Linked DNA regions of Danio rerio. The protein of the gene in region 2 interacts with the protein of the main gene of each other region in a biochemical or structural test. Links are inferred from orthologs where the notes say so. Each region holds a gene or a part of one and is shown on either strand. Other genes may lie near its edges.

Region 1 (4,289 bases), on a different chromosome or scaffold from region 2:
TGTAGATCAGTGTTTCTCAACCACCAGCTCTATGTCTCCTTAACCAAACACACCTAATTCAGACCATTAGCAGAGACTGAAAGACCTGTGATGGGTGTGACAGCTAAAGGAGACAGTAAAGTCTACATTGGATATGTGGCCGGCTGGAGGTGCGATATGCACATCAATATAGCAGCGTTTTTTAATGACACTCTATAACAATAATTAATATCTTTACAGTACTGTGATTGTTAGGTTTGGTTGGGGGTGGGTATTAAAAAATAAAATGTATTGGGTAATTTAATAGATAGCTTTCCCAGGAATGGGTTGCAGCTGGAAGGGCATTCGCTGCATAAAAACGTGCTGGATAAGTTGGCGGTTCATTCCGCTGTGGCGACCCCAAATTAATAAAGGGGCTAAGCCGACAAGAAAATGAATGAATTATTTTAACAGATAGCATAAGTAATACTCCATACATCGACTGTTTTTACATTACTGTGATAGTTGGGGTGGGGGAAGCCGTTAATAGAATACAATTAATAGGAAATTTAATAAATAATATAAATCTCGCTAACATCCGGCCGCAACCATATGTGATCTATAGATGATTAACCATGTGGATGGACGATAACAGCCTTCTCAGTCTACTTAGTTAACTTCCATCCTCAACCGTATTTGATCTAGCAACAAATGTGCAGTGTTGGTTGTCCTTCAGGAACATGGTTGGGAAACACTGCTGTAAACTGTATTTTCAAGCCACACAATAAGCTCGCATTCACACAAATCTTTTAGTTTATACATTTAATATTTATTGTGTCTAGTTTTTTTTGTTTGTTTTTTGCAAACAATTCGCAAGTTCACATTTCAGTACAAAAATAAAAACTCCATAAATTAAAAGAGAGACTACGTTTTCACAGAAAACTTCATACTTGGACGTCAGACCATTTAATGCAATGGTTAGGCAGCACACATTTGAGTAAACAACATTCACACGTTCAGAAATCAACCGTTAAACGGCCGAAAAAAAATAACATGATAGTTCTCTATTGCTCAGAACACACTAAATACAACAAATCTAGCACCGGTAAACTCAGAAAAATAACTATATTAGGTTAACTCAACACTAACCAGATCATTAATGCAAATAAAATCAGTTGATCCATGCTTATCTTGCTACATGTGGCAGGCATGTATGGTTCAGATAAATATAGGAAGCAATATCCATTGCTTTAGAGTCACTTCCATAGCCCTGCAATGCCATTCGAAATCAAGTCACAGATATAAATACTAATAGTCTTTAGTGGAATCTCAAAGAGTGAGGAGGGTTGGGGAATTCAAGGAGTCGGACGACTGATCGTTGCTGCTGCTGCCCCTGCGATGCACTGATGTCGGGAAGACGTCGTTTTCTGGGTAGGTGAACATGAAGGAAGACGTGTAGGTGGTGCAGGCTGGAGTGCAGGTGACGACGGGTGTGCAAAGCGGCTCCAGGTCAGTGTTAGCCGGCGTGTAGAGCGGCTCCCAGTCTTGAGTGTACAGAGAGTTGGACAGGTCCATGTCTGGAACCGAGCGAGCCGTTTCCAGCTCCGCTTTAGCCAGGAGCTCCAGAGACTCCTCTAGAGTGGGCTCCAGATCAGAGATCTTCACTGTGGTGGAGCTGAAGCTGTCGGTGGAGGCCGTGCTGGAGAACAGCAGGCTGCTGGAAGAGGTCGTGATTGATGTGTTTGGTGTGGAAGAGACCACTGAGGTAGTGACGATCTCTGGGACTGAGATGGAGCCCATGGGAGAGGAGGACGGCTCTGGGAAGCTGGCGTCGGCCGGGATCTTGCAGATGGGTTTGTGTGCGGCGAGGATGAACTCTAACCTCTCTTTTTCTTTGAGCAGGTTGGCGATGTCGTTCTGCAGGGCGGATTTTTCATCCTCAAGCTGGTCAGTTTCCTGTTGTGGAACATCAAAGGGTTAGTTTAATGATGTCATGGATGGAACGAGCTAGAATGGGATTTGGAGGGAAAATGCAGAATACTTACAGCTTGCAGTGTATCGGTGAGTTCACGTCGACGGTTGCGGCATTTCGCAGCAGCCATCTTGTTTCGTTCACGACGTACTCTTTTCTTCTCTTCTTCTTCTGGAGAAAGCTGCAGAAGCACAAAAATAAGGGTGTTTTAGCATTGGCAAATTAACATTCAAAATGTAGATTGTCAGTTGTTTGTCAGTTGATTTTAAAACAAAAGTTAATTGCAAATTATTTACCTGTTCAGATCTGCTTCTCTTGTTGGAGGTCTTTGCTCCAGTAACCCTCATTTTGGGGTAAGAGCTCGGGTTGTAGGATTGAGCTGCGCCGTTGGAGGGCGCCACAGAGGAGATCATGGGCTGGACCATCCACTGCAAGTCCGGGCATGAAGAGATCGCCGTGACAGTTGGCACGAAAGAGGCACTTGAGACACTCAGATCCGTGAACTCCTGAAATATAGAATATGAAATCGTTTATTATATGATAAACAATATATTTTGATTAGTCACAAAACTAATATATATACAATTTATTTGTTTATATTACTGTTTATGGGGTTTCATTCAGATTATAACATAATACAGAACATAATATACTTTAAAAACATAAATAAACTGACTTAAATCATGATTTATCTGAAATGATCATTCTAAATATATTGCTGTCATGTAAATACCTGAGTCTGGTTGAGCGGGTAATACCCGACGCTGTCGCCGCTCGGTGAAGCCGTGCTGCACCGGGAAGACGCGTCGCAGTCGGCGTTAAGGCTGGTAAACATCATCCTGTCAAAAGTCGAAAAGCACGAGCTATCCAGCGCTAATATATCCAGAAAGTTAAAAACGCTCCGGTCTTGTATTTCCTTGCTCGTCTGCTGCTCTTTTCTCTGTTTTGGTATCCAAAGTTTGACTGCCGCTCCACAGCGCTCGCGGGGTTTATATCCAGATCTGTGCCTGACGTCAAAGGGAGGGGCGTGGCCATGTGCGTTCAGTGTTTGCATAGAAACGTTAAAAACACGTCTTCGCGAGCGCATTTTACTGAATACATTATCGAAACATTAATAATGCAAGAATACACGCTTAATACGTAAGATTTTATCTTTAAAAACATTCGCATGTTGTTATTTCTGGGTGAAACGGAGTGAAAGAGACGATGTTCCGTAGCAGGGTATCCCAAGACGTCATTTAACTTATATGGAAAACATCCTGAAGAGGCGGAGTGCTTATGGGAAATACTCTGTGCAAGTGAGCAGCATTATGTAAAGATAGTTCGAGAAGATTTCAATGTTTTACAAGTAAATAAATAAATAAAAACAGCATTTAACAGAATATACTTATTATATCAGCTCTAAATGTATTTTTATTATAGTTTATGAACTTGATTTAATGACTTTATATTATTTTCTTGACACAATCATTTGATCAAAATTGAATATGTCTTTTTAAGTACATATCACGTCCATGCTGTGTTTACATGGCACCTGTTGTCCTAGATTTCATCATTTCTGTGCAGAAGTATTCAAAGTCTTTCATGCCCCGGGCTGTGTTCGTACCTTTGGGTGTATAAAGGGCGTGTCGACTCATAAACCACGTATTTCCAGTGTGAACTGCCTTCACACGGTTAACGAGGGATTCCTTTGTAACAAAATGCTGAGCTCATTTATTTCCTCAGCCTATTGCATCACAGTAAATAATAATAATGCAAGATTTGTAGTAGTCTAAATGTGTTAAATCTGCTATATTCAATACATTTTTCAATATATACGTTATAGTATATTTAATAAAATATATGAATCACTATATTATGTATTAAAATCATCTACATCAGTTCAATCATGTTTATTTAGGGACCATTTTTGTATTGCTCATCATTAATTGTCCGTATTTATACGTTTATCATGTATAAAAGTCTTCGTTTATTACTTGTCTGCCGTTGGCTACGGGCAAACATGAGGTTTGTTATTGATTAACAAGCGAAAACAGCTCTATCAGCGTTCCCATGTGACGTCACTGATCCACTTCTCTGCTCGTGTTTTGTTTGATCTTCCGCGTTGTCTAAGCGACGCCCCTCCCACTGTCGTCACTGCAACACGAGCCTGTGCAAATGAACTCTGAAGTTTCACCTTTCAGCAGCGAGAGTCTGCTTTGTGTATTGCCGGTAAATAAACACGCCGCTTTGATTGTGTATACTTTACGGGTAGCAAAAAACTAAATTGCAACGTTTTATAGTCGAAAATAGTTTTGGTATAAACACAATAAATGCTTTTGACTTCCACATCCGACACCTTTAACCCTTTTCTAGATGT
Region 2 (3,958 bases):
TGTGCATATATCCTATTTATGCTTTGACTTTACATTTTATTTTAGAATTTAATTGCACTTAACATGCAAATTAGAAAAGAAACCATATAAAAAAGCATGGAAATGCACTGATGGGGCATTAATGATGACAGAAACACATCAGTTTCTCTTTTCTGGCTGTTTTTATAATTTGATTTAATTTAATTTGTTCAAAATAAAGTCTAAAGCATGTCAAATTAATTGACTTTTATGTGTTTTTCTACTATGGAAGTCAACAGATCTCTGCTTTCTTTAGTATATCTCCTCTAGTGTTTAACTGAAGAAAGAAACTCACAGATTTGGAAATAGTAAGTACATTTTTGGGTGAACTGTCCCTTTAAATGAGCTGCCGGCGTGCTATTGGCTGTCAGTATGGCCTCCAGACGGCCTCTACAGACATGCTGGTTGGCGAACTGCTGTGGCTTCCCTCCGCCTCCACCACTCCTTCGCTCTGATTGGGGAGCGAGGGGTGCAGGAGGGCGGAGCCTGTGGAGGCGTTGGTGCAGGGTAGGATTCGGGGCGGCGAGCGCTCCCCTGCTGCCGCCCCTCCGCTGGGCATCATGGAGAACTGGTAGGAGCCCGCAGCGCTGCTGTAGTACAGGTGATATGGGGACGAGCTCGCCTGGAAGGCTCCAGCCTGGGCCTGCGAGGAGCCCGCGGGGTACGCCGGCGGCAGGTATGTGTGGTAGCGTCCCGCAGGGCTGCTCATGGCTGACATGCCAATACCGATGGCGCTGGTGACGGGCGTGGGGGTGTAGGTGAAGGCGCCGGTGGGGTACGGCACCCGCGGGTCAGAGAAACGCCCATCTGGGAGAGATGGGAGTGATGGGAAGGAGCGCTCCAAACCCACACGGGGATCTGTGAACGCCGTCAGCTCTGGACCTGCGGAAACACAGCAGATGCTCTTAAAGGGACAGTACACCCCAAAATATAAGGTCTGCAGGTAAACTACCATGGAAACACATGTAATGAATATCCTCCAGCATGCGCTTCATCAGTCTGCATGATGAGGTTTCGTTTCTGACAGATGATGATCAGATATAAATGTGTGTGACGGACGCATTAATGGACCAAGCAGCGATTCCAGCTTTACATTGTAATAGATCTGAAATGTTGTTTTGCTTGTTTCTAAAAGACCTCAGCCTTCAGTCCATCATCACAGTGCTTCAGTATTATTATTACCTCCTACCTGAATGTCAAATTGTTTTAAGGTGCTTGAAAACCAATCTGTTAAAAATATTTGATTTATTAAAGTACTTTATCTCAATTACAGTAGATTTTTTTTTCTTTTTTAAATATTTCCTAAATGATGTTTAACAGAGCAAGGAAATGGTCACAGTATGTCTGATAATATTTTTTCTTCTGGAGAAACTCTCATTTGTTTTATTTTGGCTAGAATTAAAGCAGTTTTTAATTTTTTAATCACCATTTTAAGGACAATATTATTGGCCCCTTTAAGCTATATCTTTTTTCTTGATAGTCTACAGAACAAACCATCGTTATACAATAACTTGCCTAATTACCCTAACAAAGATAAATTTATTAACTTATTTATTAATTTATTAATTTTATTAAATTTAAACAGTTATTAGAGATTTAGAGATGAGTTATTAACACTATTGTGATTAGAAATGTGTTGAATAAATCTGCTCTCCATTAAACAGAAATTGGGGAAAAAAATAAACAGGGGGGCTAATAATTCTGTCTTTAACTATATATATATATATATATTATTTAATCACAAATACAGTAAAAGTTGTACAATTGTGAAATATTATTGCACTATAAAATAACTGCGCAACAGCAGTTTATCATTTAATTTAATCATTTACTTTAGTGATTTTAAAGATGAATTTTCAGAGTCTTCAGTCACATGATTCTTCAGAAATCGCACTTATTTTAATCATTATTATGATTATTATTATCGTTATTATTATTTTGGTAAAAAAGCAGTAATGACCTGAGTAATAATTTCATTTAAAACTAACTACAATAAGAAATATTTATTTTTGTTAAATAAATGCTGCCTTGATGAACAGAAAATAATAAATAAATAAATATTAAAAAACTGACCCCGAAATTCTGATTGGTAGTGTATATGTAAATATATGCAGATTTTTCCAGCACATTTCTAATCACAATAGTGTTAATAACTCATCTCTAATAACTGATTTATTTTCTCTTTGCCATAATGACAATAAATAATATTAAACTAGATATTCTTCAAGACACTTCTATACAGCTTAAAGTGACATTTAAAGGCTTCACTAGGTTAATTAGGTTAACTAGGCAGGTTAGGAAGTTATTGTATAATGATGGTTTGTTCTGTAGAATATCAAACAATAAATAGCTTAAAGGGGTTAATAATATTGACCTTAAAATGGTGCTTAAAAAACTAAAAACTGCTTTTATTCTAGCCGAAATAAAACAAATAAGACTTTCTCCAGAAGAACAAATATTATCAGATATATTGTGAATATTTCCTGAATCTGTATATATATATATATGACAAAACTATGATCTACTATAACTGAGATAAAGTTAACTAAACTAAACTAAACTAAACTAAACTAAACTGACAGGAACAATACACCCAAAAATCAGTTTGTGTTGGGAAAAACAGGAATTAGGTTACTTAAAAGTTGTCCGTCAAAAAAAAAACTCACCAATTGTATTGTTTCAGCTCATTTTAAACGGACAGTACACCCAAAAATGTGAGAGTCCTCTTCTATACATTGCTGTATATTTTTATATTAGTTTTATATCTTCTAAGTGTGAAGATATATTTTTTTTACAATTACTGTTTTTGAGCACATGATATATATATATATATATACAGTTGAAGTCAGAATTATTCGCCCCCTTCGATTTTTTTCCTTCTTTTTTAAATAATTTCCAAATGGTTTTCAACAGAGCAAGGACATTTTTACAGTATGTCTGATAATATTTTTTCTTCTGGAGAAAGTCTTATTTGTTTTAATTTGGCTAGAATAAAAGCAGTTTTGAATTTTTTATGAACCATTTTAGGGACAAAATTATTAGCCTCTTTAAGCTATATTTTTTCTTGATAGTCTACAAAACAAACCACTGTTATACAATAACTTGCCTAATTCCCCTAACCTGCCTAGTTAACTTAATTAACCTAGTTAAGCCTTTAAATGTCACTTTAAGCTGTATAGAAGCGTCTTAAAAATATCTAGTAAAATATTATTTACAGTCATCACGGCAAAGATAAAATAAATCAGTTATTAGAGATGAGTAATTAAAATTATTATGTTTAGAAACATGTTGGAAAAATCTGCTCTCCCTTAAACGGAAATTAGGGAAAGAATAAACAAGCGGTCTAATAATTTAAGGGGGCTAACAATTCTGACTTCAACTGTATATATATATATATATATATATATATATATATATATATATATATACATATATATATATATTAATATCTAACAATACTGATACTTACATCTGAAAACCTTTTTAAGAACATTTTAATTTAATGAGACCTTTCAAGGGACAGTACACCCAAAAATTAAAGATCCCTGTGAAGTGTTTTGAAATCTGTTTTTTTTTTAACTACAGCATTGTAATTGTTAATTTACAGCACGGTTGTAAATTTTAGAGTATCACTGGCAAAATATAGTAGTTCAGTCATTCATTTTCCTTCAGTTTAGTCCCTTTAATCATCAGGGGTTGCCACAGCGGAATGAACCACCAACTATTCCAACATATGTTTTACACAGCGGATGTCCTTCCAGCTGTAACCCAGTACTGGGAAATACCCATACACACTCATTCACACACACTCATTCACTATGGCCAATTTAGTTTATCCAATTGACAGAAATGCCAACTGGCCCAGCTGGGACTTGAACCAGCGACCTTCGTGCTGTGAGGCCACAGTGCTGACCCATGAGCCACCACGTCACCTCTGAAA
Region 3 (4,594 bases), on a different chromosome or scaffold from region 2:
AAAGTGCATCTTTTCTAAAAACAAATGTGAGAAAGAGCTGTTATTTCACAAATGGAGTACGCTGTGCATCCTGTCGGAATCTGTTAGCTTGTTTCCTGAGATTTGTCACCTCTTTCCTGTTCTTTTCCATAGAGACCACAGGTGTCAGAAGTCATTTAAACACCCACCAAAACAAGTCTAATCTCCAGCTAACAGACAAAATGCTATCTTTTTTAAAACTTTGCATCCATCTATATGAGTATATATAAAGCCTATGTGTCATACTGCAGCACACTACACTGCTTTTCCCAGCAGCTTTGATGACCTGTTATCAAGGATAAAGCATAAATACCATACATTTAGAGCAAGTGAATTAATCAGTTTCAGCCAAGATTCACACAGGGCTTCTTTCACTCTGTGGATTTTACAGACTCTTCCTTGACAACACATTTACTTAATCCAAATGAGCAAAAAGCACATTTCCCTAACACTCTCTTAAAGTGCTGTGGCAGTACTAGACAGTAATAACTTCACATATCGTAGTATAACAGTCCAAGACAAGTAAAAATGTATATATTAATATAATTTAATGTTACATTCAAAAAATATTTTGTTTTGCTCGTTTAACTACTTATTTAAAATGAGCTGAAACAACATAATTCTTGAGAGTTCATTCGGACAACTTAATTTTTTTTATGTTCGATCCACATTAATTTGTTAAAAGTGTTAAATTAATTAATCGATTTGTGTTGGAACAACATGACTGAATTATGTGGAACCCGGCATTTTTTACAGTGTATGAAAGAGGTCTCTCTCTACTGCAAAGTTTAAATTATTTTTCTTTGTTTACATTATTAAAAAGTCATTTTTTTATGCAACACCTTGCAAAGCAATTCTGTTTAATAGATGCATAATAGATGTCTAATAGATCCATCTTGGCTAAATAGGCTGTCAGTGAACATCTAATAGACGTCTAAGAACAGCCCAAAACTAGACTAGTGCTCAAATACACCGATTAGACAGACTCCACACGTGTGCAGTCATTCATTCCTGTGGTTTTGATAACTAGTTTAGGGCCATTCTTAGAGGTCTATTAGATTTTCACTGACAAACCACGTTTGGCAATGTTTTATCTAGCCTTAGATGTCTATTAGACATCTATTAGATCTCATTTTAAACAAAAAGAAAATGCTTGCCATACGTAAAACATGGATATTCACTTTCACACAATTGTTTTGTAATTCATCACCTGAAGTGATGCTTTCATTTGCCTAAAATATTATAAAATATGTTGATTAAAGGGATCGTTCACCCAAAAATGAAAACTAAAATTATAAAACACTATTTGATTAATCTATATATTCGATTAGTCATCAAATATGCAGATTAAACAGATCATTAGTCATTCATTTCTGTTTATTTGATGACTAGTCGAATGTTGGCCGATTCTTAAATGTCTATTAGATTTTCACTGACAGGCCAAATTTAGCCTTGTTTTAGCTATCCACATTTCCTGCTGGGTTTCGTGTAATTTCAGGTGTTTCATTTTTAAGTTGTCGACTTTTACTGCAGTTTGGTACTTTCACTTTCATTCTGGAACATTTCATGCATGCGCCCCATGACAAATAAGAAATTGCATGCGAGTATGAACTGCTAGAAGAGTGTTGTTTTAATGTAATATGATGAGGGAAAATAAACCTCCGCATTTTGTGATGCAGGTGTCTGTGGTCCTTCATTGACTCGAGAGATGCAAAGAATAGTGTTTGTACAGCCATATAGACTATCCTGTCGCAAATTTCACTGAAAGTCCTACATGTTTATATATCTGTACTACATTTCAATAATGCGACTAAATGTCTTAATTTGATTTCTGTTTAGTAAGATTAAGACCTTAATCAAATTAAATTAATCATAAATCTCTGTTTACATGGTAGACAATGCTTTATCAGAGCATTATTGGTGTCCATATTAACACACTGAAGAATTTATTATATTCATTTAGCCTCACATTTACTGTTCCAAGATATTTTAAACGTTTCTTAAAGTAAAATATATTCTGTTTGATGGGAATAGTTTGTTAGACATTTAAAATAAAACTGTTTTATAGCATTAACATTAATCACAATACGGCGATATTTGTGTGCAAGGTTTTCATACCATCCGAATCTTATACAGGCCCATGTACAGCTACAAGTTTCATAGTACTTTTTTGCTGTTATTCATCAGTTTGATGTGTTGAGTACAGACTCACCAGTGTCCTGTCTGAACTGTTTGAGGTTGGGGATGTCGATGATGTAGGAGGACAGGCTGGGGTCTGCCTGAGCCAGACAGATGCTGCTCCCGGCGACCGCTGCCCCTCTCTGGTGCTGGAGGCACTGCTCGATGTAGCTGCTCACCTGTCCGGTGTAGGGCCTCCAGAAGCCCAGATCATCCTGCCATTCCCAAACCACCGCCATCGGCTGAGCTTGTCCGGGCACCCCAGACGAGGTGACAGACGAAGTCGACGGCGAAGCGAAAGACGGTCCGTTTCTAGTTCCACTCCCTCCGGAAGGGAAACTGGAGCCTGTTGCCATTGTGTCTGCTAAGAAATGACCCCAACCGATCCTAAAATAAGCCGGAGTTAAGCAGTGGGGCTGCCTGGCCCAGCTAACAACAACACCACCACCCTTTCAGTTTCACTCGTTTTCCACCCAGCTAACCCGCAGTATCCTATAAGAGATCGCTCGATGTCGTTAAAACTGTGTTTAATTCAGGAGTGAACATTTATTTATCCGCAGATTTGAAGGTAATCCCACTGATGTCGCATCTTCTTTGCTCGGCTGCTGGAGTCGCAGCTTCAGACTAGCCGCGTCTCGCTCTTCTCTTCGCCATTCAGTGCGATGCTGCTCGGCTACCGGGCTCATTAATCGGATTCATGTAAAATAACAGTTTCTGTTAGGTCGGCAGGCGGCTAATGCTGCATGGTCGTGATTTAAAACTCGCCGCTCGGCATGGTTTTTAAAAGTACGCAGTGGTTTGTGACACACTTCCTCTGCTGCGGTGTGTGTTTGTGTCGCTGCTGGTGGATTCCCATAGATACACACTGTGAAGGCAGACACAAACAGCACCCGTCTTGTTGTCGGTATGTTTACATTTTAAATTGTTCAAATATAAAAGCAATGTCGATTTTTTTAAATGACTACTGTCTATTCTTTGTTTATGCTTTGCTATGGTTAACTTCAAAATTTGAATGCTTATCTTTATATTGCGTACGTTGTCAACGGCAGATGGCTTTTATTTTAAAAGCGTAATACACTGACTAATAACAAAATAAAAGTCACGCTGCGTTTTTCTTTGTAGATGACGTTCATAAGTGATTTATTGTGTTACAACCACTGATCTATAATAGAGAAATAATGTTTCTATAAATACATTTTAAATATGGTATTTGTGGTTAAACACAAGAATCCCACTTAAATATCTGTAATACACGAGTTCTCAATTGTACCAAAATATTAGTCAGAATTAATTAATGTGTAATTAAATGTAATTAATGTGTAATAAAACTTTTGTCATGTAAGATCTGAATCCTGAAACTTTAATAGAATTTGTAATTGTGTCAATGGTAATTGTATTGGTTGTAATGGAAACTGCAAATGTTTCCTGTGAGTCTCTTGTTGCCTGTATGCTTTGTTTTTGTGGTATGTTAAAACTAATAAATCTTATTGTAATACGTTTTTTTGCATTACACTGGAAACCATAACAATTTTCATTACAATAGCCTGTGGTTTACAACGTGTTAATTGTAACCTACCACTGTAAATGAAAACTGTAAAGATGAAAATGTGTGATCCTGTCTTCAATCCAGTAGGTGGTGCTAATGCTATCCTGATGTGTCAGGAAAATAATCTCCATTCATCTAAACTCAATCTGAAGTTGTTTCTAAATAACTTTAAAATAATTCTCAGTATACGCGTAAAGCTTCAGTGCATAATTACACACACACGCACACGTTTATGAGGACATTACATGGTCGTAATGTATTATATACTGTAAAAAAAACGATTATTATACACCCTACCCCTAAACCCAACTTCAAATGAAACATGACAAACTTTGTAATGTCAAAAGACCCTGTTAAGTATGACTTTAACCGTTTTGATTTACAAGGACACGTGTAATGTCCTCATTAACCACCACAACATTGTAATGCCTAGGTCATACAAAATTTTGTCCTCATAAACCACCAAAAACCAGCGCACACACACACACACACACACACACTCACTTTAATAAAAATATACTTTTAGTTTAGTATAGCTCTTAGATGACTGTGGTGTACCTTTTTCATACGAAAACTTTATGCATCAGTTCTATTTTCCTGTTCCCCCTAAATAATATGCCATAGTTTTTGGTACAATCCCTGATTGTATTATACCTTTGGTCAAATCTGGCCCTAAAGGTTCTTTAGATTCTTTTATTTTTGACAACACAAATCTTTTTGTTGACAAAACTCTTCTCAGTTCTATGTCTAGCAAAGATATTCGCTTCGTTATTACTAGTTCTCGGATCTCTTTACCTGCTTGCATAGGTTTTTGGAATAATATATTTGATGATGTGGATTGGGAACAGTTTC

The links. The genes of interacting proteins can lie anywhere in the genome.
Region 1: the proteins of runx1 (region 2) and fosab form a complex in vitro, tested with the Homo sapiens proteins (2 studies listed by BioGRID). The link is inferred for Danio rerio from reciprocal best matches to the Homo sapiens genes RUNX1 and FOS.
Region 3: the proteins of runx1 (region 2) and dtx2 form a complex in vitro, tested with the Homo sapiens proteins (2 studies listed by BioGRID, with this or other methods). The link is inferred for Danio rerio from reciprocal best matches to the Homo sapiens genes RUNX1 and DTX2.

What each region holds. Positions count from the first base shown.
Region 1 is NC_133195.1:49,905,851-49,910,139, forward strand, and holds fosab (v-fos FBJ murine osteosarcoma viral oncogene homolog Ab), read right to left. Parts: upstream 2,880-4,289; 5' UTR 2,769-2,879; coding exon 2,664-2,768; intron 2,437-2,663; coding exon 2,227-2,436; intron 2,112-2,226; coding exon 2,004-2,111; intron 1,915-2,003; coding exon 1,288-1,914; 3' UTR 766-1,287; downstream 1-765. UniProt on the Homo sapiens protein: Nuclear phosphoprotein which forms a tight but non-covalently linked complex with the JUN/AP-1 transcription factor. In the heterodimer, FOS and JUN/AP-1 basic regions each seems to interact with symmetrical DNA half sites.
Region 2 is NC_133176.1:2,048,555-2,052,512, forward strand, and holds part of runx1 (runt-related transcription factor 1), read right to left. Parts: intron 901-3,958; coding exon 386-900; 3' UTR 1-385.
Region 3 is NC_133180.1:65,408,394-65,412,987, reverse strand, and holds the start of dtx2 (probable E3 ubiquitin-protein ligase DTX2), read right to left. Parts: upstream 3,066-4,594; 5' UTR 2,553-3,065; coding exon 2,231-2,552; intron 1-2,230. UniProt on the Homo sapiens protein: Regulator of Notch signaling, a signaling pathway involved in cell-cell communications that regulates a broad spectrum of cell-fate determinations.